Diceros bicornis minor: one gene and its partners. The protein of the gene in region 1 purifies or fractionates together with the protein of each later gene. This does not show direct contact. Links are inferred from orthologs where the notes say so. Each region holds a gene or a part of one and is shown in the gene's direction. Other genes may lie near its edges.

Region 1 (10,120 bases):
AATCCAAGTGCCAGTGAGAATGAAAAGGCAAAGAGACATCAGGCAGGCACTGCGTACATGCAAGAGCTGGTCCAAAAGGCAATGGGGAATCAAGAGGCATCCTTGAACAAGCTGCTGCTTCTGCAGCAGCACTAGTTATGGCACCACTTGAGAACAGGTAATGCACTAGCTCAGGAGGGCAAAGGTCTTCTGACAGATGAGGAGGCCACACCACCAAAAGCACTTTAAAAATTCTTCTTTTCTAAGGTTTCTTGAAGAAGAAAGGATAACAATTTAAAATCAGAAGGCCTAAATTCAGGTTCTGGCCTCTAAGTGTGGAACTCTCTACGGTGTCATCACACACAAGTCACTTAATAACTATGGGGCCAACACCTAGATTACCTGACTCATTAAAACTATTGTGAAGACTAAAAATAACATGAAAAAAAATGCTTTAAAGACCTTAAGTTCCATTCAGATGAACAGCTAATTTTTTTAGACAGGATAAATAAATCAGCATTTCCACAGTATAATTTTGACTATAATTTAGAGACTGGTAGGTATATTTTAGTCATGAATCAAAAAAGGCTCAATAACAAAAAGATGAAGTTGTGAAGTTTCTAAAGGTCAATCAATGCAGAGAGATTGAGAAGCCGTTCTTGTAAATAAGCTTTTGATGACTGATGGTGCAGTATATTTTCCTTAAAGGATATAAGTTATAGCAAAATACAGGCGGTTTCAGAGAAGCAACAAAGTGTTCACACAGATACACAACACATTCTAGGAAGATCATGGCAGGCAAGATCAATCTTTAAGGCTTCTGACCACATTTTGAGATGGGCATGTGGGGACTGTTTAGGAAAAAGGGATACAGAAATATTTTCAGTGCATTCCCCACTTCCTGGGAATTCAGAACAGTGGCCTAAGTAGGCAAAGGAAAACAGATGCTTAATAGCTGGGTCAGAGTGGCTGCACTTGCATACTAACTCCTGGCGCTTCAATGAGCACACACAGCTTTACCCACTTATGTAGGAGGCCCTGCCTGAGCACAGCTATTGATACTGGCAGACATCTAGAAATGCTCCTGAAAATAAGAATTCTGTGGCCTACAGCCTCAGCTCTGCTGCTATACCCAGTCAGGCTGGTAAAAACTTGTGCTAGACCTACTGGGATGCCGCAGATGTGAATACAAATGAAGTTCACACCCAGCTTGTAACAATCTAGCTCATAGGAACCCGAGGACTGACCTGGCCACATTTATGCATGTGAGGGTGTATTTACCAAGTTAGTAAGAAACGTAGAGAAAGGCATCCCTTTATTGAATTCAGAAATTCTGCTTTAGTGCCTTAAAATATCCTATTGCCTGAATCCTATTATTCCTTTTCTTGCTCCTTAAGATTACTATTCTAAGCAACTGTTCTCAGTAGATACCTGGGCACTTCACTGAGGACACACCTGATAGAGGTGACAGGGAATATGTATTTCACTTAGTGTGGAGGTGACCAAAAAGGATACGAGAACATGCAGCCCCATCTGTCCCCATCCCCTTGAGAGTAAGCAGAAAGAGTTAGTAAGAGAATAAAGAGGTGAAGGAGTATAATACAAATCAAATGCTATTAGTAATAACAAACACAACATCACAATGAAAATTTTCTGTATAACAACAAGATTTCTAAGTCTTCAATCTCAACTCATTCCAACACTTAAAGACAACTAGAGCAATTTCTATGCATTTGTTCTAAGATATTGCTTGTGTAGAAATTGCAGCTTTATCAAGAGCAGCGTTTGAAGCCACAGTATGATGAATACATTATATCAAATCATGAAACCAAAAGGAGTCAATGGAAGAGCTCGCCCAGCACCTCTCTTTCTCCAGAACCTTGAGTTTAATCCTAGATTTGGCTAGGACCAACTAACTTGTCTTTGGACAGGAATAATTCCAAGTTAACAATGTAACTGTAGAGCCAGGGAAAAAGTTCTGTGATGTCACTTTTCAAAAAGATGTTTAAATTCATTCTATTTCAGAGTGGAATCTCACAGGCCACAACTAGAGCGTGGACTTGGAGAGATGAGGAGGTGTGGAAAAAACCAAACCTCTTTCTCTGCAATGAATTATTTGGACTCCTCCTTTATCTCATAAAAGGGGGGAAATTTTTTCTACTCAGTTTTTCCGGGCCTTCACAAAGCGAAATAAACTAAACAATACTTAAGTTCTATATTCCTAACTTAGTCAAGTGACTAGCTTTGCTAAGGAAAAAATTTTTTAAAGCACTTTGCACTTTTTAACTCCCAATTTTTCCTCAAAAACAATAAAAGTCTTTTTGGGGGCTTTGAAATGTCTAGAAACGATACTTATCTAAGCTTGCCCCAGATCATCCCCAGTCTTAAGACCTGGCATTAGTTTGGAGGTCTTGGGTAAAGTCACTGTTGCTTCTCAGGACAGTGCTCCAGATGACTTCGAGACCCCTGAACAAACCACAGAGCAGCAAAGGAACCAGCAGTCTCAGAATCCATCCAGACCCACAAGGGGAATCCTCATCAAAACCCAAAAGGTTTGACTGGAATCAGAAGAATCCGGGATACACCTCATTTAACTACCATTTAGCTTCTTTTTTTTTTTTTTATAATTTTTATTTATTTATTTTTCCCCCAAAGCCCCAGTAGATAGTTGTATGTCATAGCTGCACATCATTCTAGTTGCTGTATGTGGGACGCGGCCTCAGCATGGCCAGAGAAGCAGTGCCTTGGTGTGCGCCCAGGATCCGAACCCGGGCCGCCAGCAGCGGAGCGCGTGCACCCAACCGCTAAGCCACGGGGCCGGCCCTGCCATTTAGCTTCTATCTCTATATTGAAGTTAGTTACTATTAAATTATTAAAAACATGAAAAATCAAAGTGCCACTACAATTTAAGAAGGAAGAAAAGTCCAGGCAGAGTGTTATCTTAATAATACAAAAAACTTCATTTCTCACATAGCTAACCTTTTTTGAACACTTATAAGGATTCTCTCATTTCATCCTAAAAACAATCCTATGGGGCCGGCCCGGTGGCTTAGCGGTTAAGTGCACGCGCTCCGCTGCTGGCGGCCCGGGTTCGGATCCCGGGCGTGCACCGACGCACCGCTTCTCCGGCCATGCTGAGGCCGGGTCCCACATACAGCAACTAGAGGGATGTGCAGCTATGACATACAACTATCTGCTGGGGCTTTGGGGGAAAAAATAAATAAATAAAATCTTTAAAAAAAAACAAAAAAAAAAACAAAAAACAATCCTATGATTGTAGGCATTGTCTTATCACTCCCATTTTACAAATGAGAAAACAGGCTTAGAGAAGCTAAAGGTTAAGTAACTGGTCACACAGCTAGAAAGTGGTAGAGCTGGGACGAGAACCCTAACCCCTCCACAATATGGCCTCTTGCAGTCCTTTCACAGCCCCATCTCATGCACTACTTTGCATGAGAACTTCTGATTGCTTTACAAATATCAGCCTTTCTCACAGCTTCTCTTATAAATGGTAAATAAGTAACCTATGGGGAAGATCTTATAATTTGCCACCAAAGTAGCTATCCTATCTGTGGGGCAGGCACTTAAAAACAAAAAATAAGCCTGCTTTTTGTCATATCCAACTGATGAAAGTTAGGTTTTTGAAATCTCTAGAGATCTACTCAATGTCACCTCCAGGATTCAAAACTTTACCCTAACCTCTGTTCCTTAGTGTAAGGCAGAATAAGCCAGGAAAACAGAGCAAGTTCTTTGTCACAGATTCATTTTACTCTCCCACAAAATTTAATTCCCTTATCTTTTGGTTTTTGAATTGTTAAATGTTAACATGTTAAAAGATTACTGTCTTATAGAGAACAGCATGAGCAGAGATCCTCGTAATGGTAACTGCCTTCAAAATAAAATGTGGCAGGAGAAAGTGCAATACATATCGCACTTGCATATCCAATTAAATAGATAACAGCTTTTACTGAAACAAGAGGCTTTGACCCAATGTTTTAACCTAATTACAAATAATTAAATTTTACTAGAGCAAAACAATGTTTTATAAATTTTTTTCATTAGAACTTTTCAATTCATCCTGTATTTTAAGCTTTTAAGAAAAGGAATAAAAGCTTAACTTTAAAATTCTTAATTTAAAAAATTAAATACATGACACAAAATGTTTGCAAACTGCTAGGCCAACAGTTAGCATTTACTGAGTTCTTATCTGGTCCCAGGGACTATTCTTTGTGTTTAGGGATACAGTAAGAACTCAAGTTGTCAGATCTGGATTCTGCCACTTATCCTATGTGTGACAGTGGGGTAATTTAACCTCGTTTCAGTTTCCCCACCAATAAATTGCGCATAAAAAAAAACCTACTTCAAAGAGATGTTGTGAGAATTAAATGAGGTTATGAATGTAAAGTTCTTAGCACAGTCCCTAACATATGGTAAGCTTTTAGAGTCAAGCTATTGATTACCTGGAAGAAGTGGCATTTTCTTACTATATGTCCAATCAAATGTCTTAATACTACACTGTATAATTATTATTTTAATGTTTGTAGTGGACTGAAACATCCTATAAAAGCAGCAGGTCATCAGAATAAAATCAAGTTTACATAATGGGACAACAAGTCAAACATGGCAGTCAGGGTTCACCAAACTGCTTCAGGGATTAAGTTCTGGAAGGTTTTTTTCTCTAAACATGACTATTTCTGTGTGCCTTTCTACCAAATGAACCATTCAGCAAGTTTATATACAACTGAATACAGATTATTTTTATTAGCAGTGTTATTGTGGTTTTGTGACTGAGGGGGATTGTTTAAGTTTCAAAGGGGATCTTGTCTCTTGACAGGCTTATGTCACCAAGTGCTAAAATTCTCAATGAGACGCTTGCTCCCCTCCAAAAAGGGGCTATGGAGGGTAGGTGGAACTGAATGCTTCCAAACTTTTCATTAGTGAAGAGTGTGTTCAAAAACGTATGTGGATACTATGCATACACGTGGTACTTTCCCGTAACATTTTAGGATTCCCATGATGGAGGGAATCAATTACTGGTATTTGTAGACAACGGGCGGAAAAGATGGCTTCAGTCGATCTGAGTTACTCCAGTTTTCTCCATCTTCTGCTACTCTGCAACCCCTTCTCAACCCTTCCTGCTCTTACTGCTATGGCACCCTATCTTCCCCAAAGCCCCTTCCTTTCTAGCCCTGCTTGAGGTCTCCCTTAACCCTGCATTCTCCTCCCACTGGTCCCCATCTTCTCCACCCTCTCTCCTGGCCCCCTCCCATCCCTGCAGTTTGATCTACAAACACTTCCTATTTCTAGTCCCGCCCACTTTCTGGGACTTCTCAATAGGCTTCCCGTCTCTTCTCCACCCCCCTCCAAATTACCCCCAGACTTTCGCTGGGACCTCTTACCAGGCTGTTTAACCCTTTCTCCGATCTCCCAGAGAAATTATTCTTTAAACTGCCTTCCTCCACACCCCCCACCGGAATAATCTTCCAAACCGTTTACCCTCCTCCCAAAGATTACTCTTTAAACATTCTCTATCACCCTCATTCTCCAAATCGTTCCGTTTCCCCCCTCAATTCTGAAGTACTTCGCTCCTCCAGCATCCCACCCCACTCTTCTCTCACCTCTCACTCCGCCCACAAAAGAACCGGGATCACTCTCCAGACTGTCTCTTCCTTTTAACCACCCTCCAAATTACCTCTTCCAGCAGCCTCCCCCCTGCGATTTAAAATGTTCCCTCAAACAAACCTCACAGTCCTACCCCCCCACCCCACAAAGTCCCCTTTCTGATATTCCCTCTATTTCCTGGGTTCCAGTTCTACCCCGCTCCCGCAAGCCTCGCGTGCTGAGCTCCCTCCCCACCCGGGGAAGAGCCCCTTTCCGCACATACCTCGAGGTTCCGGCCCGCGCCGCCCCCTTCTCCGTCCTCCGCCCGCGCTCGGCCACCCTTTCCGCCCTTCTCCCGCTCCGCCCCGCTCGCTCCCTTCCTTCCCTCCGCCTTCCGTCTCCACACGGCTCCCTTTGGCCCTCCTACTCCGGGGGCCCCTCTAGTTCGCCCCCACCTCAGCGCGGCCCTGCCCCTCCCCTCCCCCTTCCCGGCCGCCCCTCCCCCGCCCGCTGCTCCCCGCCCCTCGGCTCGCCATTCTTCTCCCCGAGCCGCGCGCCCCACCCGACCCCAGTTCCCTAGCTTCCCGCTCCCTCGCACAATAGCCCCCATCCCCGGCTCGGTCCTCGCTCCCCGCGGCCTCCCGCGCCCCCGCCCGCGGCCTGACCTGCAATGGCGGCCGCCGAGCGCGGCGCCGCGCGGCCAACGGGCGACAACCGAACCTCCCGCCGCCGTCGCCGCCGCCGCGAGCACTGCCTGCGCACTTCCGGCCTTGCGCCGCGAGCACTTCCGGGGCAGAGTACGCCAGCGCGCGCGCACGTGGGGCCGGGGCGGAGAGAGGGGAGCGCCTGACCGTGGGTGAGTTGGGGAAGGGGTCGGGGAAGCGAGTCTGAGAGAGGGGAGTTCGAGGGGGTGCGACCTGCCCTAGGTGGACGCCCCGCGGAGCTCGTCGATTCCCTTGTGCCGAGGCTGGTGGGGGCTACTCCGTAAGTGCCCGGAGAGGGAAGGGGTGGCCGAACTCTTGCGCGCGCTTCAGACGCCCTCTTCGCCGGGCCGGGCGGAGCACGCCTGCCTTGCCCGTAGGCTCCTGATCTTGAAGGGAGACGAGTGAGGGACGAACCAGATCCGGCCCCTGCTCTCGCCCAGTGTGTGTGTTGGCGGCGGGGTGGAGGTAGTTGACAGATGCCAGACCAAGTCCTGTCGCTTCCTCCTTGAGGAGCTCTTGGTTCTGCCTGCCCCGTCAGCCCCACCATCGCTACCATTGCAAATTTAGCATGCAATAGAGTTAGGAAAAAATGTTTGCTAAAATGCAGATTCCTGAGCCCCCCCCCAAGAGATTGAGATTCTGGAGCTATGGGGTAGGACCTGGAATCCTGCATTTGTTAAAACCGTTCTTCGAGGTGATTTTGATGCAGGAATCCTGCAGACCTGACTCTGAGAGACTGATTTAAGCTGTCGATATTTCTTGCTTCTTGACAGTCGTCGTGTTTTTACCCTCTTTTTCTGCTCCCCCTCAAGAAATCTCACACAGAATAGAAAGGAGGACCTTAGTTTTTGCCTTGAGTACAACTGGTCACCTCTGTGTGTCTCCCTGCGTTTAGGTGTGCACTCCCAGTTAGAGAATGAGATTGTGTTCTGTCTTTTGCTCTAAGGTCAAGTTTTAGATTCTCACCCCTCTTTTAGGCACTTGTCAGGATTATTAAGAGTCTGGGTGGTGCTCTATATGCTGGTCTTTTAATTTTTTTGCTGAAGTATCCTGAACTTCTGGAGATTGATAGATTCTTGTGTGGGGCATAAAAGCATCATTAATTAGATATGTATTGAGAAATGAACCTCAGTAAGATGTAGTTGGAGTCTTCTATCCAGAACAGTGATGATAAACAGGATGTATGACATACTGCAGTTAATGTTTAACAATAATTTTTTTTTCTCCTCTAGGAATGGGTGAATTTACGGTCCATCGAGTGCGTTTCTTTAATTATGTTCCGTCAGGGATCCGCTGTGTGGCTTACAATAACCAGTCAAACAGATTGGCTGTTTCACGAACAGATGGCACTGTGGAAATTTATAACTTGTCAGCAAACTACTTTCAGGAGAAGGTAAGTCATTTGGGAGCCTGATTTGGTGTTTCTGATCTTAATTTTCTTCTTAAGTTGGATTATACAAAATCCTTTGTGTCTTTTGTATTCAGAGAGACGTAGGGAAGGGGACTCTCCCTGGAGTTGTTTAGAACTACATAACTTCTGTAGCAAATATGCAATCTCTTCTCTGACTGATGATGAGCTCAAGAGTTTTGATCTGTGTAATGTTGGTTAGAAAGATCCTACCTAAGAACTGTGGGGGCTCACTGTCATTTGGAAACTGAGGTTTGCTGGACCTTTTGGTCACAACAACAAGGGAAATTCTCAAGACCATTGCTTTATATGTCTGCACCATAGCAACTTTGGCAAGGCGGCATTTCCTGCTGGTGGAGTCAGTACTCATTGTCAATTCAGAAAAAATGATGAAACTTTTTTTTATTATTCCAGTAACATTGATTTATAACATTATATAAATTTCAGGTGTACATCATTATATTTCAATTTCTGTGTAGAAACATTTAATATCAAACTTTTTGGTTACATGATGGCAGGAAGATGGATTCCTGAGTTCACCTGTGTGAGAGAACATAGGCTTAGAAAATGCCTATATTTGGAAGTAAAGGAGATTTTTTTTTTTAATTATTTATTTATTTATTTTTCCCCCAAAGCCCCAGTAGATAGTTGTATGTCATAGTTGCACATCCTTCTAGTTGCTGTATGTGGGACACGGCCTCAGCATGGCCGGAGAAGCGGTGCAGCTGGTGTGCGCCGGGGATCCGAACCCCGGGCCGCCAGCAGCGGAGCGCGCGCACTTAACCACTAAGCCACGGGGCCAGCCCTAAAGGAGATTTTTAAATTAGGTAAAATACCATTTGGGTGTCTTCAGAGGGCTGTTACAGCAGCGTATTTTTCAAAGGCACTGATTACTGATTTCAGGTGCAACAAAATAATTCAGTTCACATTAATTTAGTGCCTTGTGTGCCCTAGGCACCCTGATGTAAATGGATGGGTGGATAAATGAATGAGTTCAGTGCCCAGGAGCCTAGGACTTTGAATTTAGGCACTCTGTAATGTTTCTAAATGAATGAGTGGCAAGTATTAGGCATTAAGACCAATGTTAGAGGCCCTACCTTCAAGGAACCCAGTCTGGGGCGGGGGGGAGGATGAATGTACAGTTTCCAAAAAGTGGGGTAAATTTTACCGTAAAACTAAGCACAGGCATAGAATCTTAGTGGAGAGGTGCCTTACTCTTTCTGATGAGATAGGTTTAAGAATCCTGAGAAGGGATGACTTATTGCGCTGATCCCTAAAGAACTAATAAGAGTTAAAAAATTGCCAGGCACCACAAATGGGTCACGTTCTGTAGTATGAAAAACATACTGTGGTACATGCTTGTTGCATCCTGTGATTTTTCTTGTCATTTATGACAATTATATAAAAATTTGTATATTTGTTTAGTGTCTTTCTTTCCCACTGAACTTCAAATTTTATGAAAACAGGGACCATGTCAGTGATATTCATGACTGTAATCCCAGCATTTACTAAGTGCCTGGTATAAAGACCCTGCTGAGTTAATATTTGTTGAATGAATAATTCAACTATTCCTTCCGTGGTACCTCTTATTTTCTTCTCTCATCTGTTTTTTTCTTCAACAGTTAATTAATTCAGTCTAGTCTTCTGCTTTCTCCATACTCTCTTCTCTACTATATAAAATTGCTTAGGTCTGTTAATCACTCTCAGAACAAGAAAAAATTGTATCTGTTGGAGTGAAAAGAGTAGGGACTTGGAGTAAGGAGACCTACATTCTCTTCATGTCATTGACTTTGTCACTTTGGGCAAGCCACTTAACCCACAAGTACTTCAGCCTTTTCAAGTTCAAATAGGAAAAATTATACCTACTCAGTCCCTTTTGTTTGAAGCAGATATAAGAGTAAAATGCCTTGATAGATATGAAAACTTTTTGAGTGCTAAGAAAGCACTTAGAAATCTGAGACTTGAATGAAAAGCTAGAGTGCTGCATTTGTTTATCTTATTTTTATTTTTTAAACAGCTTTATATAGGTAAAATTGACACACAGTAATCAGCATGTATTTGCCAGTATCCACATTGATGACTTTTTTTTATTCTTGATGTTTTAATAGTTTTTAACATTGTGAAATTTTGTGTTGTACATTTTTGTTTGTCCATCACCTTATATATGACTCCCTTCACCCCTTGTACCCACCCCCAACCCCCATTGCCCCTGGTAACCACAATACAGATTTCTCTGTCCATGTGTTGGTTTATATTCAACATATGAGTGAGATCATAGTGTTTGTCTTTCTCCTTCTGGCTTACTTCACTTACTTACTTACTACCCTCCAGGCCCATCCATGTTGTTGCAGATGGGACGATTTTGTCTTTTTTTATGGCTGAGTAGTATTCCATTGTGTATATATACCACATTTTCTTGATCCAGTCA
Region 2 (9,511 bases), on another chromosome or scaffold:
GCAGGGAAGGAATCAGTATTTGCTAATTGGCAGCTAGCAAGAAAAAAAGGATCCATTTATACTTTGAGCCTTTTGTTGTTAATGCATTGTTAGGTCACATGCAACTCCTAGGAAGCATTTCTAGTTCTACCCTCCATGATGACCAGACAAAAGGCAGGAAACGATCTGCTTAGGGTACCGTATTTCTGGTAAATCTTTTACATACTGATCGGGGCCATGAGGTATTGGAATTGTATCTCCTGCGGTGGTTTGAGGATAATCCAGCCTTGCCAGATTGTAAAGTGATCGGGGTGCTGCACAGTGTTAATGCACACGGAGAACACTGTGGGAGGCAGAGGAGAGTGCGGAGGAGAGGCAAGGAAGTGCCAAAGGTTAAATAAACAAAAAAATCTTTGAGAGCCAAAGCATTCAACAGACTTTTCTTTGATCTTTACCAAAATTTATGAAGAAATCCAAAAGGAATTTGATAGCAGACAGGAGTTGTCCATCAAGATTATTTGCTTCTTAGCTCCAGAACTCACTTACTTTATGCAAACTACTGGAAATGATCAAATTGCTTGATCGTGGATGTAAGCATCCTCAGGAAGGTTTCTAAGTATGACTTAGTTTATGTAATTGAAACGTAAGGGTAGCCACTCCAAGAACCCATAAAAACATCAGTTACATATTTTCATTTCACCTGAGTCATCTGAACAATCACCACAGTTGTTTCTTGTGTCACACACCTTGTCCACATATATCCAAGTCTTCTGGTTGGGACACTTGAATATCAAGTTTTGTGGGAGACTGCTGGGCATTTTGCCTATATTAGACAAAGACATTAGTTCTAATAGAAAACATTCATGCATGATAATGTTTTAAGTGTAATTCTGAATTTTAGTTATTCGTTTCTGGTGACTATTCTTTAATCTTGATTATTTGTCCACCTCGCATTCATCTTCACCATGACTGCAGTCCAGCTTGCCGTTACAAAGCAGTGACGGTGACAAGCAAGTAGTGAGGTCGTCACACAGGAAGCCAAGGTGCTGTGAAGCTGTCCTACAGTATTGATAGGGCAGACCTGGAAGATGTATGAGCTGAGTACTGGATGTTGTCGTGTGCATCCCTGGCCATGAACATCAAGCTGTAATAACAGAATAACCTGCTCCTCCTTCCCCCTCTGCTTCTTTCCACTGTTCTTTTTCCCATTATTTCTTCTCCTTTTCTTTCTTTTTCTCCCCCATTTTCCAAAACTCTCTAGACCTACCTCGCTTGCATTTCTTGCACCACCACTGGCATTTGGGCAAAAAGTGTGGACTCACTCCTGCCTGACGAGGAACCCAAGGGGACCGGCAGGGAGTCAACAAGCCTGAACTCTGGGGTGAGCCTGGCGGTAGCCCTGCAGCCCCTTCACTGTTTTCTTAGCTGGAAATGGCAATGAAGATAACTTGCTTCACCAACCTCAAGGGGGCGCTGTCAGTTAAACTGACTTCATCGTTCACGTGCAGGGAAACTACTCACCAAAAATGAGTGGGAGTTTGTCAAAATAATGTGATATTTAAAAAAAAATTTTAAGTACTATAAAAGTTTAATAGAAGTTAAGGTGTAAATAGTGGATTGGTAACCCTTATATCTCAAACATATTTACACCTAAAATAATGTATTTCCAGAAAATTCCAGTTTGGTGTGTAGAGTGGTAAATAGGCTGGAAATATGTGAGATACCTGGGTCAGAGTTGGTGAGGGCTGAGTGCAGGTGCGTTTGCATCTTGAAAGTTTTGTAGTTGGGACCAGGTTGATAATTAAGAGGCAGATGACACCACAGTTTGTATCCCCTAATCCATGAGGAGCTGATTTCTCTCAAATCACCAACAATGTTTAACACCAACCCAACCAAATACTGAATCATTCGCTCTTCTGTCTTGTTCACCACTGTTTCCCTAGTCTCCCTACTTACAGCAGAAACTCCTTGAAGGTAGAAACCATGTCCTGTGTGAGCTTCAGAGTTGGGCGGACCTGGATTGGAATTCCAGCTTGTAGATTTACCAACTACATGGATCTTGGGCAAGTCACCTAACTTCTCCGAGTCTCTGCTCATAAGGGTGATAATGGTGATAACAACCATCACCTCGCAAGACTGTTGAAAAGAACGAAATAAAGATGACGTGTTAAGTGTCTAGAGCAGTGGTTGGCACATCCCTCAGGCCCATTATCCCGTCATCAGGAGACTCAGCCCCTATCACCCAAATCAGGAGACTCACCCATTTAGAAAATAATTGGGGGATAAATATATTTTTGTTGGTTGAGTGAATTATCAACAGATCCAGCACCTTGGGGAGACACATACTTGCAGGTTTCACAGGTATCCCAAAGGTGATCTCAAGACTGATAGCAGAAGCCATAAGTCCAAGCACAAGGAATGCCATGAAGGAAATCCAGAGACACTGCCTGGTGGGAGGCCAGCGTTGCTCTGTCAGCAAAACACAAACATGAAGAACAAGGCTTCATCTCAGGGCAGAGGCTCATGTGGGGGCTACGGTGCTAACCAGCCAGCTGTTGCCTATGGTCACGTCAGTGGGAAAGGCAGGAGCCAAAATGACAGGACCTTAGAAGTATGCTTTGAACCGTAGTGGTGCTTTCCTGTCTACAGTTGCTAATCCAATCTTTTGGGCCCCCAGCCTTATGATGAGTGGCTATTGCTCCCCGCACTGTGAAAATGAAGCTCTAAAATGAAGAAACAGGGCCAGTGAGGGGAATGACTTCTGAGGTTTATGCTGATGTAAGTGGAACTATCTCACCTTAAACCCAGGTCTTCTGGCTCCCTCTCCAGGGCTATGTCTACTCTGCTGAAGTTTCCCCAAACCTGGTTTTCAGGCTACTTCTACCAGAATCAGTGCAGAAAATGCAGATTCCCAGGCCCCACCCCAGACCTATGGGATCAGAATCTCTAGGCGGTGGGGCAGAGACCTGCATATTTTTTGAGCACTCAGGTCATTCTTGGACACATCAGTCTGAGAACTAACAGTCCTATACCAAAGAGGAGTGCAGACTCGGGGCTTGGGTTCCAACCAGACGCTCCTCAGGACTCTTGCTTACTCGTGTCTGGCATCAGCAGTCCCTGACGAGCAGGAGGGGAGCTGCTTCCCTTGGAGTGGCTTGGCACCAGGCGAACTTGCCTGACCAGTGTTACCGGCATGCCACAAAGAGGAAACAGAGCTCCCACTGCTCCTGGTCGTTGCCGTCAGCAGCACTGCCTTCACAGTCAGACTCCTCTCTTTGCTAGTCCCGAGGTGGCCCAGCGGCCAGAGCTCCTAAATCTCTCTGAACCTTCTTCAGGGCCTGAGTCTGCAGTTGTGGGATCTCCTGGGCCTCCATGTAAGGAATTAGCATTCAAACCCCCTGTGGGTAAACAGTACATTTTAACAGGAGAGAGATGAGATGGCATCTTTTATGGCGACCACTCCTAGAGTCTAAGGCTTTTGTCCCTTTGGAACTATATCAAGTATAAAGATTAATTCTTTTATCTCTAACACCTAACAGTGCTTCACAATCAACAGCCCTGTCACGCAGCTGTGCGTATTCACATTACTGGTGAAGAAACTGAGGCTTCAAGAATCTAAGTGTCAGCAAGTGTAGAAATAGGGACTCGACCTCAATCAGACCCTCTCTCTGAGTCCTCTGCCCACCACAAAGCTGCACTGAAGATTTTCACTCTGCTGGGTCACAAAACCCTGCAAATCCCCGCGCCTTAAGCCCGAGTCTCCGGCTCCTGGGGTCAGTGTGCATTAGTCCTTCCCACGGTAGCTACAGCCTTTAAAATGTTCTTACTCTTTGATTAGAAATCCCATTCTGGGCCTCTACCCTGTGCATATAATTGGATCTGCAGAAGAAAGCTTTATGTGGAAAGATTTTTTACAAAATTTTTATGTAGTGTAATTTTTAACGGGAAATACTAAATGCTAAACGAATTCTAAATGAAAACGCTTCAGTGGCTTTAATATTAAACGCCTGTTTACTAAAAGTGATCAAATAAACCATTCAGTTTTATATGTGATGGATCCTCGACGGGGTAAAACAATCATATAAAGACACCAAGCGTGAAGAGAAAGCCTGCGCAGTCCGCAGCGGCCGTCTCTGGATTGCGGTTCGTTTGTTCATCATTCATTCCTTCGGCAAATATTTGCGGAATATCTGTGTCTGGCGTGTGCCATGCTCCGTAGACACACTAACGAACAGGACAGATGTAGCCTTGGCCTGAGGCGAGCTGGAGGTCTGGGGACAATGTGATGTTTAGCAGACGGGTTTGTGTCAGAATCACTAGGGGGGAGGGGGGAGCGTTAAAAATTCGCGTATTCGTGGCGTTAGGGCATAATATAATTTTTTAAAAAGCTCCCTTAGTGATTCTGAAACACAGCCAGGATGATAGGTACTCTTCTAGAATAGAAGTCTCCAACCTTTTATGATCCCACATCCCTTCAGTAACACAACAAATAAACGAAATAAAATTAACATTCCCCCCACGACATATGAATATTTATTTATAAATTCTACGCCTGTACTAGTCCACTAATGTATTACGTATATTGTAAGACATTGTCGAAAATTGAAATTTAGGAAGGGTGAAGTTAAATATACTATAAAGATAGAAATCTTAATAATTTCTTCCCTGACCCACTGGATCCTCCTTGGCGCCCTGTGAGATTCATTTGGAAATTACTTCTCTCTCTAAAGGACAAAGGGGCTGTGAGCGGCGAACAAGAAAGGAAGCTGCTTTTACGAAGTCATTGCTTATTTAGTAGGACGGCCTCGAGGGGGTTGGAAAGGCTCATGCAAACGCTAATCATTGAAACAGACATTGAAATAGACCTGTGACATTACAGTGGAATTAGAGCGACACAGCCTGTCTTTATTACCTGGGTGGCTGATGCGTAACTGGAAATCATTCCTCTGCGCGTCAGCGGACACGAGGGAGTTTATGGGGTCTCTGGGCCCTAAAATCCATCTTAACTAAGCCGTAACAGCCAAGAAAGAGGAAGAAGGGATTGTGCAGAGTGAAAGATGAACGAGGGGCTTGCCCGAGGCCTGCAGCCAATCAGGGCGAGGCTGGGGCACTGCGGTCCTGAGGAGGAGCTGGGCTGGGATGCTGAGCGGAGCTGCCCGGAGGGGCGGTGAGCCTTGCGCCTGCGCAGTATTTCCTCACTCGGGCCCGAGACCCCGTCGGCTGCAAGGCCAGTGTCCGCCCTGAAGAGGGCAGCAGAGAGCAACGAGTGGGCCCCAACTCCTCGGGCTCCGCGCAGCCCGCCGCGCAGCAACCACCACCCCTCTCTGCTCAGCGGCGGCGTGGACTGGAAGGACCCCAAGGGCCAGGAGATGCTCGCGGCTGTCCCATGCTTCTCGGGATGACTGGCCGGGACGTTTTGAAGCGTTTGGAGGTAAATCCGCAGCCACTCGCCCCTGCCACGGTGGTCGTGTCTTCTGTTTGCAAGCAGTATGAGGTAGTTTAAGCACCTTCAAATGCCTCTAGTTTACTTTCAGAGGGAACCCGGGAGGTAAGCGGATTTGTAGGACCGTTTCATAGATGAGGAAACAGATGCCCAAAGATTGAACACTTGACCTGCCTTCCATAGCTGGTTAGTGACAGAGCCGGACTTGGACCCAGATCTCCTAAAAGCAAGTAGAATTTAACTTTTCCTGCTAAACTCACTTCTCTTAGAGTTCTTGGGCCGTTTCTCAAGGATCTGCATATTCTCTTTGAGAATATAAACTTTTGTTTTCATTGTGGTGATAATCTGTAACAGTTATTAAAGCGTATTCTGAATCCTCTGGATGACCATGACTGACTGGTGGCATGTGTTGTCAGGATCTTGATTTACTTTGTGTTTATCCTTCAATTTGTGCTTGTCTTTGAGTTTGTACCAAGTGAAATCCAGTTGACTTCACGGTACACTCTATCACTGAGATATTTTGCAGCAGGCTGAACGCAGAAATGTGGTGGGAGAACTGAGTCATCTTAGGACACACAAAATACAGGCATGTCAGACGTAAAAGTAACTTGCCCACAACGTCCATGTTCACGTTTCCAGGAGACGTGCACTGTGGTCGCAGTCTTTGAAAATATCAGCTTTCAACCGTTCAGTTGATAATAATTTTAGTGGTAAGCATGCCTTGAAGAATGGTTCTGTTCTGGAGTCAACAATAATTGGATTAGTTGCCGCTGCATGCAGACTGATCTCTTCCCATAGAAGGGAACTGTACAGTTATCAAGTACCATCCATGTTGCTCACTCGCAGTGTCAGTTAAGTGAAAGGTTTGCTTCTCCTGAGCCACAAACAGGCTGGGATGTACGAAAACTCCTGTGTGTAAGCAAACAGGCGTCCTCGGGAGTTGTATTTTCAACTTCACAATAGAGAAGCAAACTAAATATATGACCAGGCCTGAGCTAACCGTTAACCCCAAATTGGCAATTTAGTTTCTGTAAGACAATATGGTAGTCCTCCCTTATCCTCAGGGGCTACGTTCCAAGACCCTCGGTGGATGCCTGAAACCACGGATAGTACCTTACCCTACATACAATGCTTTTCCTATACATACATGCCTCTGATAAAGTTTAATTTATAAATTAGACACAGTAAGGGAGTAATGGCACTTGTGCTATTATTAAGTAAAATAAGGGTTACTTGAACACAAGTACTGTGATACCACAACAGTTGATCTGATAACCCAGATGGCTGCTAAGTGACTGACGGGTGGGTGGTGTGTACAGCGTGGATCCGCTGGACAAAGGGATGATCAAATCCCAGGCGGGACGGAGAGGGATAACTTGAGATTTCATCACGCTACTCAGAATGGCGAGCAATTGAAAACTTATGCGTTGTTTATCTCTGGAATTTTCCAATTAATATTTTCGGACCACAGTTGACTGTGGATAACTGAAACTGTGGAAAGTGAAATCACAGATCAGGGGGACTGCTGAAACATCCACTTACCCATCACATTAAATTAATATTACAAATTTGAATTTTATTAGTTTTATGGTATTTGGTTTCAATTTTGTTCTGCAATTATATAGTAACCCATAAGCGCAGAGTTTATGCATTGTTTTATGGTTGTCCGTATTGAAATAACATTATAATAAACATTAAAATGATAGCGGTGTGGTGGGAGTCGGGAGCCTGCAGTCATTTTCCCAGAATGCGAAGGAGTCCACTCAGTGCTGGGTGTGAGGAGGCTGTCTCCTCTCCTCTTGGCAGTCTTGCTGCATTCCCTCCCTGCACCAAGCCCTCTCACCTCTGAGAGCTGCTCAGATTCCTTTTCTTCACCTTTCTTCTTAGCAACATCAGCCCCCACTCTTCTCTTACTGTAACTCCACACTCAGCTCCTCGGCTCTCAGGGAGCTCTCCTTCTCGGGAAAAGTTTTGAGACCCTAATCTAGTTCAGTTACCCTTCTTCACACATGAAGAAACTGGGGCCTCGATGGCTAAAGTGACTCTAGTTCAAGGTCACCGGAGACTGCAGCCAGCATTCCTGGTTTTCAGCCTGGGAACAGATCCACAGAAAGGGCAGAGGGAAGCAGCCGTCGCTATTTCCCACGGGCCTGCTGCTTGCCTGTTCCTGATGCGGGAGGGAGGCGACACAGGCATGGTGGAAGGCATTGCGAGAGGGGCGAGTACCGTGCAGCGTGGTGCCTGGACCTTCCAGCGTCTGAGCCGAGGCTGCGTGATGAAGGGCACAGTCACTGGAGTCAGCAAAGCCGACCCTGGACTTGACCTGCCAAGAGGAGCTGGTGACCCTGGGCAGCCGTTGCCTCCCTGCAGGCCGCAGCTTCCTTGTCTGTAAAACGGTCAGGGTTGCAGTAGAATTTCAGTGTCTCCCAACCTCCCCTGAAGATACGAATCCCTTGGCGTGTTTCTTAAAAACCCATGTTCCTGGGCCCCCACCCTGAGCTGGAATGTCCCAGGGGAGATGCCTGGTAACCTGAAGTTAACAGGGGCCTCAGCTCTTTGTTACCATCAGGGAGACTCCGGACCAGATAAGTCCTGAGGCCTCTGCCTCCTCTCCTTCTGCGTCAGCGAAAGCCCCCGATACACTGCAAGTGTGACGCTGAGAGGAAGAACCTGGAATCGGCACCAGCCCTTCACCCCTAAGAGCGCGGTCAGTGTGTCACTCAGCAGGTCTCCGAGAGACAGGGACAACGAGACGGGTGGGCTTTAATCAGAGGAATTAACTGCGAGGGCACAGGCAGGCCTCCCAGGAGAGACGGACGACTGTGGAGCAGCAGCGGGGTTTTCCGGGTGGCTGGAGTTGGACACGGCAGGCCTGAGCCTGAGCCTGGAGTGCAGCCGTCTGCACTTCTGAGGGGAGCCAGCTCTGTGGGTCTGTCCAGTGTAGTGTGTCCCTTAGTGGTGGCCCGGCTTCAGGGGAACCAGCTGGGCTCCCCTGGTGACACGTCCTAGCTCTATAGGAGGCCAAGCTCCATTTTCTGTCTTAATGAGCAGTGACACCATCCAGTCAGAAATGGACATGCAGAGATGGGGGGCGTACAGGAAAGATTGTTCTGCCGCTTGTTAAGACGGTGAGGAAGACTTCATCTGAAACGACTGCAGTAGGGGGAGAGACTCACCTCAGCTCTGAGTACAGCAAAGACGGGGCATTTACAGCCCCCGAGCAGAGGGAGGGGGCAGCGGAGGGAAACTAGAAAGAGGAACTTGATTCCACCTCAAGGGGAGAGGGATCGTGATAAACCGGCTGAGTCGGGTTCGTGCTCAGACTGGGCTCAGCAGGCCAAGGTCAAGGTCAAGGTGAAGGTCAAGTCGAGAGGGAGGCTGGAGGAGCCTGACTAAGCTTCATCAAGGACGGAGTCTGTCAGGGGCTGAGATGAGTTAATAAGGCGCTGGTGGGGTTGCGGGTTTCTCTCTGTCGGGCTGAAGAGCTGGCTGAGGAAGAACCATTGGTGGGTCAATACGGAGGCTGACTGGGGCTTGTACTGCTTGACAGGCAACGTTCGTCATAATGAAAGAGTAACAATTACAGCTCTCGTTTGTTATTTTCCACGTGGCAGTAATTTTATATACATTATTTCAAATCCTTAGAAAAACCCTCCGAGATGGTATCACTATTTTAATTTTACGATGAGGAAACAGGCTCAGGAAAAGCCTTGTTGAAGTCAGGAATTGAACCCAGGTCCGTCAGATTCTCAACCCCGAGGGTTCTCACCATGGCATGAGTCTTAGCAGTTTGTAGGGTGAATGAATTTGTAAAGGTAATGAACAAGTGGACCAGTGAGCTTTATTTCAGGTCTAAAGTAGGTGATGGCGCTCAGGGCAGGCCACCCCAAGATGCGCAGCTCTGGTATGCGGATTATTTCCAGCTGAAGACAATAAAGACTCAGAAAACTCGGGAGGGACATTTGAGTTTCCCCTCCCAAATTGCCTAAAGAACTTAACATAAAAGCTCTGTTTCAGGAAGGAGTTACTATCATGATGGCTGTAATATAATGTAAAATAGATGTTACAATAGGAAAGGCACCAAGCCCC
Region 3 (9,801 bases), on another chromosome or scaffold:
GAGTGTACCAATTTTGTTCTTCTTTTGAAAAATTGTTTTCAATATTTTAGGTCCTTTGTGTTTCCATATCAATTTTAGAGTCAGCTTATCTATTTCTACAAAAGTCCTGCTAAGATTTTGATATGGATTTCATTGAATTGCATTGAATTTATAGAGTGAATTGAGGAGAATTGCTATTTTGACAATATCGAGTTTACCAATTCATGAACATGCAATATCTTTCCATTTATTTAGTCCTGCTTAATTTTTCTCAGCAATATTTTGTACTTTTCAGAGTACAAGTCTTGAAATTCTTTTGTTAAATTTATTCCCAAGTATTTTATTCTTTCAAGTGCTATTGCAAATGGAATCATTTTCCTAATTTAATTTTCAGAAATTGTCCATTAATACTATGTAGAAATACAATTGATTTTCTGTATATCGATCTTGTGTCTTGTGACCTTGCTACATTTATTTATTAGTTTTAGAGCTTTTTGTGAATTCCTTGAGATTTCCTACATGTCATCTGTGAATAAAGATACTTTTACTCCTTCCTCTTCAATTTGGATGCCATAACAATAATAATTACTAACAATAATTATTATTATTATTTACTTTACTGCACTAGATAGACCCTTCAGTAAAATACCAAATAGAATTGGTAAGAGTGGACAGCATTGCTTTGTTCTCATTCTTAGGAGGAAAGCATCAGTCTTTCGCCATGAAGTATGAAGTGAGCTGTGGGTTTTTTTGTAGATTCTCTTTATCAGGTTGAGGATGTTCCCTTCTATTCCTAGTTTGTTAAGGTTTTTTTTTTTTTAAAAATCATGAATGGGTGTTGGATTTTGTTCAATTCTTTTTCTGTACCTTTTGAGATTGCCATGTGTTTTTTATCCTTTATTCTATTAATGTGTTGTATTACATGTATTGATTTTTGAATGTTAAACCAATTTTGCATTCCTGGGATAAATCCCACTTGATTATGGTGTATAAACTTTTTTATTTATTGCTAGACTTGACTTGCTAATATTTTGTTAAGGATTAGAGATTGATAGGCTCTATCACTCTTTAGGACTTATAGGACTTTGTTTAGCCAAATTGTTAGTAAATTGGATGAAGGGCTGGAATTGGGGGCAGAGGGAAGATTGGAAGAGCCTAAATTACAAGCATGAACAAAAGAGCAGAGCCCAGAACAAGGGTGGTAAGGGCAGGAAACCAGAAGCAGGTCAGGATCTGGGGTGTGATGTTTGAGGCAACCTGTAGTGAGTGATGATAGGGGAGACCATCATCAACAAGAACCAGATTATAGATTGTAATCCATATATATTAAGCAGTATAGACTTTCTTCTATAGGTACCAGCAAGCTTGCGAAGGGTTTTGAGTAGAGAGGTAGAATGGTCAGATTTATGACTTGCAAAGATTATACCAATGGGCAGCCTGGAGAAAGGGAGTCCAACCAAAGCAGTGGCAGCACTTCAGGTGAGAGATATAAGGTTCAAATAAGAACAGAGGTGGTTGAATTGGATGGAGGTGAGGAAATTGAGTGGGGAATTATTTAAGAGATAAAAAGAATCTGATGACTGATCAGAAGTGTGTATGTGTTTGGGTAGAAATGAGATATGAGATTGGGTAATAAACAGGGCTGAATTCTGGCTTTCTACTATGGCTAACTGGATGGCTGGTGGTATCACCAACTGGGGCAAGGGATACGAAAGAATGAACACGATTAGGTTCAGCTGCATGTGACACAACCCAAAAGATAGTAATTTAAACAAGAGGGATGTCTATTTTCTCTTGTATAAAAAAAGTTCAGAAGATTTGGTCCAGGGCATATATAAGGCTTCAGGGTCTCTAGGTCCTTCTCTATTGTTGCTCTGCCCTTCTTAGCATGTTCTTTTCTCCTCAAAGTCCAACATAAATGCTCCAGGTTTGGCCACCACATTTGAGTTCCAAGGATTAAGAAGAAAAAAGCAAGCCAGCCCTGATGGCCTGGCTAAAGTTCGGTGCACTCCGCTTCAGCAGCCCAGGTTCGGTTCCCAGGCACGGAACCACACCACTTGTCTGTCAGTAGCCATGCTGTGGCGTTGGGTCACATAGAAGAAATAGAAGAACTTACAACCATACACAACTATGTACTGGGGCTTTGGGGGGCGGGGCGGGGAAAAAAAGAAAGAAAAAGGAGGAAGAATGGTAACAGATGTTGGTGTAGGGTGAATCTTCTCCTGCAAAAAAAGAGAAAAAGAATGCAGGAAGCATCCCCCAGATAGGAGGGATTTAAAAAAAAAAAAAAGAAGAGGTAGAAGAAAAAAGCAATGATGACTAGTATACCCTCTCAATTTAAGGATATTTTTGTACTGGCCTATAGTCATATGGCCTCACATTGCTGCATAGAAGGCTGGAAAATATAGTCTTCATTCTGGAAAGTCATATGCCCAGGTAAAGAAGTGCCCCAGGGCACCCTGATGTTAGAGAGTGGGACATAAGGAAGAGCCAGGAGAGAAGACTGAGAGGAGCAACCAGAGAAGTAACAAGAAGCCAGGAGGGTGTGATGTCGTGGAAGACAAGCACGCTAATGACAAGCCAAGTAAGATTTGGACTTAGAATGGACACATATTTAGCAGTGTGGAGGTTATTGGTGGCCTTGGGAAGAGTTTCTGTGTAGTGGTGGGTGAGGATGAAAGTCCCACTGGAGGAGAGAAATTGAGAAAATTAGACTACTTTTTTGTTTTGTTTTGTTTTAAAGGAAAGAAATATTGGAACAGCAACTAGAGGGGGAAGTGGGGTCAAGGGAATTTTATCTTTTAAGAAGGGAGAAATAACATTATATTTATATGTTGATGAGAAGGATTAAGCTGAGAAGTAAAACTTGATGCTGGTAGAGAGAGGAAAGACTTTTTGGAATAATTTTTTTTTTTAAAATAATTTTATTTATTTATTTATTTATTTTCCCCCAAAGCCCCAGTAGAGTTGTATATCGTAGTTGCACACCCTTCTAGTTGCTGTATGTGGGATGCAGCCGCAGCATGGCTGGAGAAGTGGTGCGTTGGTGCGTGCCCCGGATCTGAACCCAGGCTGCCAGCAGCAGAGTTCTCGCACTTAACCGCTAAGCCACGGGGCCGGCCCCTGGAATAATATTCTTTTTTTTTTTTTTTTTGTGAGGAGGACTAGCCCTGAGCTAACATCCAGTGCCAATCCTCCCCTTTTTTCTTGAGGAAGAGTGGCCCTAAGCTAACATCCGTGCCCATCTTCCTCTACTTTATATGGGATGCCGCCACAGCATGGCTTACCAAGTGGTGCGTCGGTGCGTGCCAGGGGTTCCGAACCTGTGAACCCCAGGCAGCCGAAGCAGAGCGTGCGCACTTAACCGCTTGCGCCACCAGGCCGGCCCCTGGAATAATATTCTTGAATGGACAAGAGAGGATGGGATCTAGAACTTATGTGGAGGAGCGGCCTTTGCCAGGAGCATGGACAATTCATCTGTAGTACAGGAAAGATGGAGCACAGGTGGGTAGCGTCTGTGGTACTGGGAGCTCGTGGAAGTTCTCTTCTGATTGCTATTTTCTCAGAAAATAGGAAGCAAAGTCATCCACTGAGAGCGAGGTTGGAGGAGGAAGTTTGAGGTGATAGGATATGAATTAATGTCTAGGAGAGTGGAAGAGTGAATGGACTAGGGAACAATTGATAACCTGGTAGCGTTGACTTCCCACATGACATTTGTGATCATGAATTTAAAGTGGGTAAGAGTCATAATAGAGTGGTTGTGGCTTTTCTCTACTCACTTTCAGCTGCTTTTGGGTGGAGAGTTAGATTTTACCAGGCTTGCAGTTTCACCAACGAAGGACTATGATGTGAGAAAGAGGCAAGGGAGTTGAGAATTGCAATGACAGACTTTAAGATGAATTAAGAGGGAAGGGCAGCCGTCAGGGAGGAGGGGTGAGGGCTGGTGAAAACATTGTAGGATCGATGAATTGATGGTCCTGTGGGGTAGAAGGACTGGCTGGAGCCTGGGAGCTAGAGGGAGCGGGCTGAAAAAATAGGAGTTGGTGGTTAGAGAGCAGTGTGTGGAAACAGAGATTATGGAGGGGGTGCAGTTATTGTAATGATAAGGTCTGCGACATGACCGTGGGAGTGAGTGGCTGGTATAAGGTAGATGCCAAGATCATTGAAAGGGAGAAGGTCAAGAAATGATATGTTTGGGTATTGGAGGGTCATCTATGTGAACCCTACATAGTTTCATTGGGTCAGGTCGTCCATGCCCAAAGATGACTTGGGTTGGAAATCCAGCTTCTCTTCCACTGCCCAGCTCTATATCTCAGTTTTTTTAAATCTGAAAAATGGAGGGCTGGCCCCGTGGCTTAGCGGTTAAGTGCGCGCGCTCCGCTGCTGGCGGCCCAGGTTCGGAACCCCGGGCGCGCACCGACGCACTACTTCTCCGGCCATGCTGAGGCCGCGTCCCACATACAGCAACTAGAAGGATGTGCAGCTATGACAGACAACTATCTACTGGGGCTTTGAGGGAAAAAATAAATAAAAAATTTAAAAAAAATCTGAAAAATGGAGATATTGATAGTTTCTACATCCTAGGGCTGTTGGGAGGACTAAGTGAATTAATATACATAAAACACTTAGAACAATACCTGACATATAATAAGTGCACAATAAATAGGCTTTTATTTGTATATTTACGACTAACAAATCACTCTAGCTCAGATCTTTTTTCATACAGACCTATATATGTTTTTTTATAACAAAAATCCTTGAAATAGTTGTCTATACTTTTCTGCACTTTCTCACTCCCTTTTTTCCCCTCTACTCTCTTCAATAAGTTCCCCCCCCACCTCTCTACTAAAAATGCTTTTGAAAAGTCACCAGTGTCCTTGATCTTGCCAAGTCCACTGGTTAATGCTCAGTCTTCATCTTACAGCATTTGACACGGCTTTGATCATATCTTGCTTGTGAAATTCTTATAAAACTTTGGTTTTCAGGGCATCTCATTCTCCTGGGCTTTCATCCTGCCTCACTGTTACCCCTTCTTAATCTTCTTTGCTGGATCTTCTTCCTCTTCCTGACCTTTAAAGACTGGCATAGTTTGGGGCTAAGTTTTCTTCTCTATCTATACTTACACCCAACATGATCTGACCAGTCCCACAGTTTCAAACAGCATCTGTATGCTAACGCATCCACAGTTTACATCTCTAACTGTGATCTTTTCATATATCCAACTTCCTACGGAACAACTCTATTTAAAGGAATGAGCTCCGCTCTCCAGGGCACAGTCAGTCACATTGCTCCACACGTCCTTTCCCTTCCCCAGTGCAAGCTAGCATTGGCCCACCGGGCCACCGTCCACACAGTGGGCCCGCCCTACGCTCGCCTGCGCGGCGAAAGGCCACGCCCTCGACCCTCGGCGCTTCCTCCGCCCCACTTCCTCCCTCCAGACCCCGCCCCGCGTCGGTGCGCCTGCGCACGGGCGAACACGTGGCTGCCGCGGAGCCAGAGCAGCAATGGCGGCGGGTGGCGGCAGTGTTGCCGACCCCCTGTCTCCCGCGGGGGTCCCCTGCGCCTTCTCCCCCCAGAGCCAGGCCTACTTCGCTTTGGCGTCTACCGACGGTCACCTGCGAGTGTGGGAAACAGCCAACAACCGGCTGCACCAGGAGTACGTGCCTTCCGCGCACCTCAGCGGTACCTGCACCTGCTTGGCCTGGGCGCCAGGGCGGCTGCAGGCCAAGGTAAAGCGAGCGGGATGGCGGTGGGCGGGCGCCTGTCGGACTCGGCCTCCGGGTCCCCCCGGCCCCTCGGCGCGTGGCCCAGCATCGCGCGTGGCCCTCGACGGCCCGGGGCGAGGAGGCACGGGGCGCGGCGGCGGCGCGGACTGGGCCCACGCCGCCAGCCCTGTGTGCGGCCTGTCCCGAGGGCAGCGAGAGAGGGCGCCGCCCGACCTCACGGGCCGTGGGCCGGCACCCTGCCGGCGGGCTCCATGCAGTCGGCAGTCGGCGCCCGGCGCCCCGCAGTCGCCGGGGCCGCCATGTTCGCGGAGGCCCCCGGCCCCCCAGGGGCGGCTTCCTGCTGCCTGGCCTTGCTCATCAGCGTGCGCTCTTCAGAGCCTTGGCCTTTGACAGAGCTCCACTTTGGGGCTATACTACTTCTCCGACCCCTGTCCAGCTTATTGGCTTTGCCCTGGGCAGTTGGAATGAACAAGTCTGTTTCCTTGCTTCCGGACAACCCCAACCGGCCCCCCCCCCCTCGGGTGCCGGCTCACCACGTGTTCTCTTCCACGTCCAGGATGTGGGACTTGCACTCTTGAAACTCTTGACTTTCCCAGGGTCGTTTCCATTCTCGGCCGTTTGAACCTTCTTGCTTTTTTATTTTTAACTTCTGCTAGGCTCCACTGTTGTACATCTCCTTTCCCCCAAGGTTGAAGTCTGCATTAGGATATGGTGGTAAACTGAAGTAGTTGAGCTTAATGATCGTGAGTCCAGGTGAAGTTTCTGTTAGATAGGACACTGCCGAGTTAGGGAAGGCTTTTCACTCTTAGCCACCCATCTCAGGTAAGATGCTATTCACTGTGAGTCACGCGACTACATCTGCTCTAACTCACACGCACGTGGGAACTGCAGGTACAGGGTAGCCAAACTGAATCAGTCCAGTGTGGTTTGGAAGCATCAGGTATTGTGAGGTGTGTGGTGTTCAGCTGACACTCTGTAAAACTTCAAAAGCTAGTATTTAGTACAGATCTTAACTCCCTTCTGACTACCCTAGGGAACTTTCTGCTAAATTTTTAGGTTAAAAGTAGGGATGCATCTAACTTGTTCTACTTTGTATAAGTATGTTTAGGTATTTTTCACATTTTAAGCTTAATTTTCATAGTTTCTGGATGAAGTGTCTCCTCTTGACTAATAAGAGAAACCTTTTCAGAGCTCTTAGTCAAGCACAAAACTTGGACTTGTGAAAAAATCGTAGTTGTCAGTGTTAAAATTACAGCACTCTGCATATTTTTCTTTCTCAAAGTTGTTTTTTATGTTTGTATTTTAACATTCCTGTAAAGTGATAATACTAATGAAGAGGAGAAATACAGAGCAATGATTAGATGCATGGATCCAAGCTATGCTGCCTACATTTGAATCCAGGCTTGGCTTCATAGTAGTAATTGTGCCTATAGTTCCTCATTTGTAAAATGAGGATAATAGTATCTACCGCATAGAGTGGTTGTGAAGGTTAACATATTTAATAATGCATACAATATTTAGAATAGTTCTTGGTGTGTAAGTGCTGCAAGTGTTAATATCGTTATAAGTATCTCATATTTGTGTGATTAGTCCTGCAAGGTAGGTAAAGACTAACTTTTTGCCTTGTTTGGGAAGAAAAACTGAGGCTCTAGAAAGTTAAGCAACTTGAAAAAGCCAAAAATGGAACCAGGACTAGAATTCTGGTATTTAGAGCTCAGTTCTCTATTATCTGCAACAAATAGTTAATATTAGGTTGGCAAAAATTTGTCGCCCACTTTGCTTTTCTGTTGACTTACTATCACATTGTATACCTCAGGAATAAAATTTTTGCCTAGTCTTAAATTTCCTGTTAAGAGTCTTAGTTTTAGAATATATATAACACTTTGATACAATAGAAAATATCTGGATTTGGTTTCATAATCAGGACTCAAGTCAAACTTGCTTTTGTCACATTGAGCAAGTCACTTTAATTTTGGAGGCTTCATTGAAAAATGAGAGTTGGGCTACATTAAAAAGTTTATACAGGTTTCAGTATCGTTTTACCTGTATGCTCTTGTTTTAGCCACACAACCCAGTGAGATGCCCTGAAATTATTACATTTTTAAAAACTGAGAATCAGGACTAAGAAAGTTTAAATGACCTCACCGAAGCCCTAATACACAGTAAAGTAGTTGAAGCGACTAGAGTTGAGATACTCTGGCTCCTGGTCTAGTGCTCTTACACTGTAACCTTAGATCTTGAATCACAGAATTGACAGCTGGGAGGAGTGTAGAGACATCCAGTCCTCATCATCTTGGGAATGTGTTCTCTTAGAGCATCATTTTTACTTGAAAATTAGGAAGTGAAGCAGTTTTCCTGTATTAAAACAAATTTGCACATATATTATGGTATAAAATTAAAAAGTCACATGATTTTTAAAGATAGAAAATGAAGAGTGATTTGTAGCAACTGCTTCAACCTTTGCTCTCAGGTCCCCGGGGTTATGATGCTTGCCGCTTAAGTTTTAAGATGCTCTCATCTTATGAAACCCTATTATTTTGCAACTTTGAGGCTTAAAGTAAGAGGCATGAAAAGAGTGTTATTCTGAAGCCTATGTTCTCAGCATCTTGTTAAGATCTTGTTTCTCTCAAATGTGAAATGGAGATTATGCCACCCACCTTTCAGCGTTCTGAGAGGATTAAATGAGGCAATGTATGTGACTGGTGTAGTATGGTCTGGCATGCAGTAAATGCTCAATAAATATTAGTTATTGAATGATTCATTGAGTGTTCTATATGGGCTCATTTTATCATTTACTGCTACATTCCTCAATATAAATCAGTTTGTAAGAGTGTCCTGCATCTGGTTCAGTAATTTGCAGTTTGCCACCCAAGGACAAAGTTTGGTCACAGTATTCTTATCGATTGAGAATTGTGAGTTGGTGCTGGATTTCTTGGGTAACAGGAGTTAAAGCAGTGGTTCATAAATGTTTAGGGAAATTAGATTGCTGCTTCTTGTTCTTGGTCATAGAATGATTATAATACTTGCATTTATGACACAATAGTTTTTAGAGGGTTTTCATATATATATTATATAGCTGAGCATTCCTTTTGGTTGATGGAGCCTGGGGCAAGAGGACCTCCTAGGATGACGAGAAAAGTGCAAGGCGACAGATTGATGGACTATAGATGGACGCCGTGTTTAGAGCTGCTCAGATTTGCGTATGTAAACTGAGGCTAAGATGTTAAATGATATGCCAAAGCCACACAGTAAATGGCTGAGCCACCTAGGAACTGACCCTGGTGTTCTGTTGCCGCCTTAAATCTCTCCAACTTTTCTACTTTTCCTTCCCTAACTGCTGTAGAGCCCTGGTGAAACAGCCTTGTCTGCTGTTGGCTACCGCAGTAAATGTACTTACGCTGCTTTGCTGTCACTGCAGTTAAAATGACCCACACAGCTTAGTGCTTGTTGAATGAACCGCGTGGCATTTCATACATTGGACAGGACAAGCACAGTAGCATTAAGGATATTTCTAGGAAAAATCTCAGCTGAGTATCCCCACTTCCATTTCTTAGAGATGTAGCACACTCGACTTCTGTACGATGAAGGCTGTCTTAAGGTCTCTCCAGTATTTAAACTTCAAAAGAAGGTAAAGTTTGCAGATTAGATCCCATTGGCAGAAATAGAAATTCCTGTGTATTAGAATTATAATTGTTTTGATATAAATACTGTATGTAATTATGTGTAAAATGCACACATTTTGTTCACCTTTATCCATGAAACTTAAACATTTGCCAGAGTAAGTGATAGTAATATAGGCCAAGAGACTATGGCATAGGAGACTAATTGCAGAATGAGACTTGAAACTTGGCATAATTTTCAGTGTCTAGAGGTCAGTATTTTTCAAAAATAGGTCTTGATCCATTAGTGCATTGCGAAATAGATTTAGTGGGTTGTGACAGCATTAAAAAATGAAATAGACAATGTCTGAGTATATTTTGCATGATGAAGGATAAAGTTTTTGTGAAACTTGTTTCAGTTTATACATACGTTTTTATGAGTGTGTGTATTGGCTCTCTATGTAAACTCTTTTCTTCCTCTGGGATCTCAGTCTAAA

What was found. The genes of interacting proteins can lie anywhere in the genome.
Region 2: the proteins of UTP4 (region 1) and UTP15 purify together in Homo sapiens (co-immunoprecipitation; 4 studies listed by BioGRID and IntAct, counting the BioPlex papers as one, with this or other methods). This does not show direct contact. The link is inferred for Diceros bicornis minor from reciprocal best matches to the Homo sapiens genes UTP4 and UTP15.
Region 3: the proteins of UTP4 (region 1) and WDR43 purify together in Homo sapiens (co-immunoprecipitation; 5 studies listed by BioGRID and IntAct, counting the BioPlex papers as one, with this or other methods). This does not show direct contact. The link is inferred for Diceros bicornis minor from reciprocal best matches to the Homo sapiens genes UTP4 and WDR43.

The regions. Positions count from the first base shown.
Region 1 is NC_080771.1:20,659,896-20,670,015, forward strand, and holds the start of UTP4 (U3 small nucleolar RNA-associated protein 4 homolog), read left to right. Parts: upstream 1-6,365; 5' UTR 6,366-6,436; intron 6,437-6,522; exon of another isoform or gene 6,523-6,564; intron 6,565-7,516; 5' UTR 7,517-7,518; coding exon 7,519-7,677; intron 7,678-10,120. UniProt on the Homo sapiens protein: Ribosome biogenesis factor. Involved in nucleolar processing of pre-18S ribosomal RNA. Part of the small subunit (SSU) processome, first precursor of the small eukaryotic ribosomal subunit.
Region 2 is NC_080740.1:3,225,431-3,234,941, forward strand, and holds the start of UTP15 (U3 small nucleolar RNA-associated protein 15 homolog), read left to right. Parts: upstream 1-5,171; 5' UTR 5,172-5,410; intron 5,411-9,511. UniProt on the Homo sapiens protein: Ribosome biogenesis factor. Involved in nucleolar processing of pre-18S ribosomal RNA. Required for optimal pre-ribosomal RNA transcription by RNA polymerase I.
Region 3 is NC_080751.1:54,131,992-54,141,792, reverse strand, and holds the start of WDR43 (WD repeat-containing protein 43), read left to right. Parts: upstream 1-5,461; 5' UTR 5,462-5,483; coding exon 5,484-5,708; intron 5,709-9,801. UniProt on the Homo sapiens protein: Ribosome biogenesis factor that coordinates hyperactive transcription and ribogenesis. Part of the small subunit (SSU) processome, first precursor of the small eukaryotic ribosomal subunit.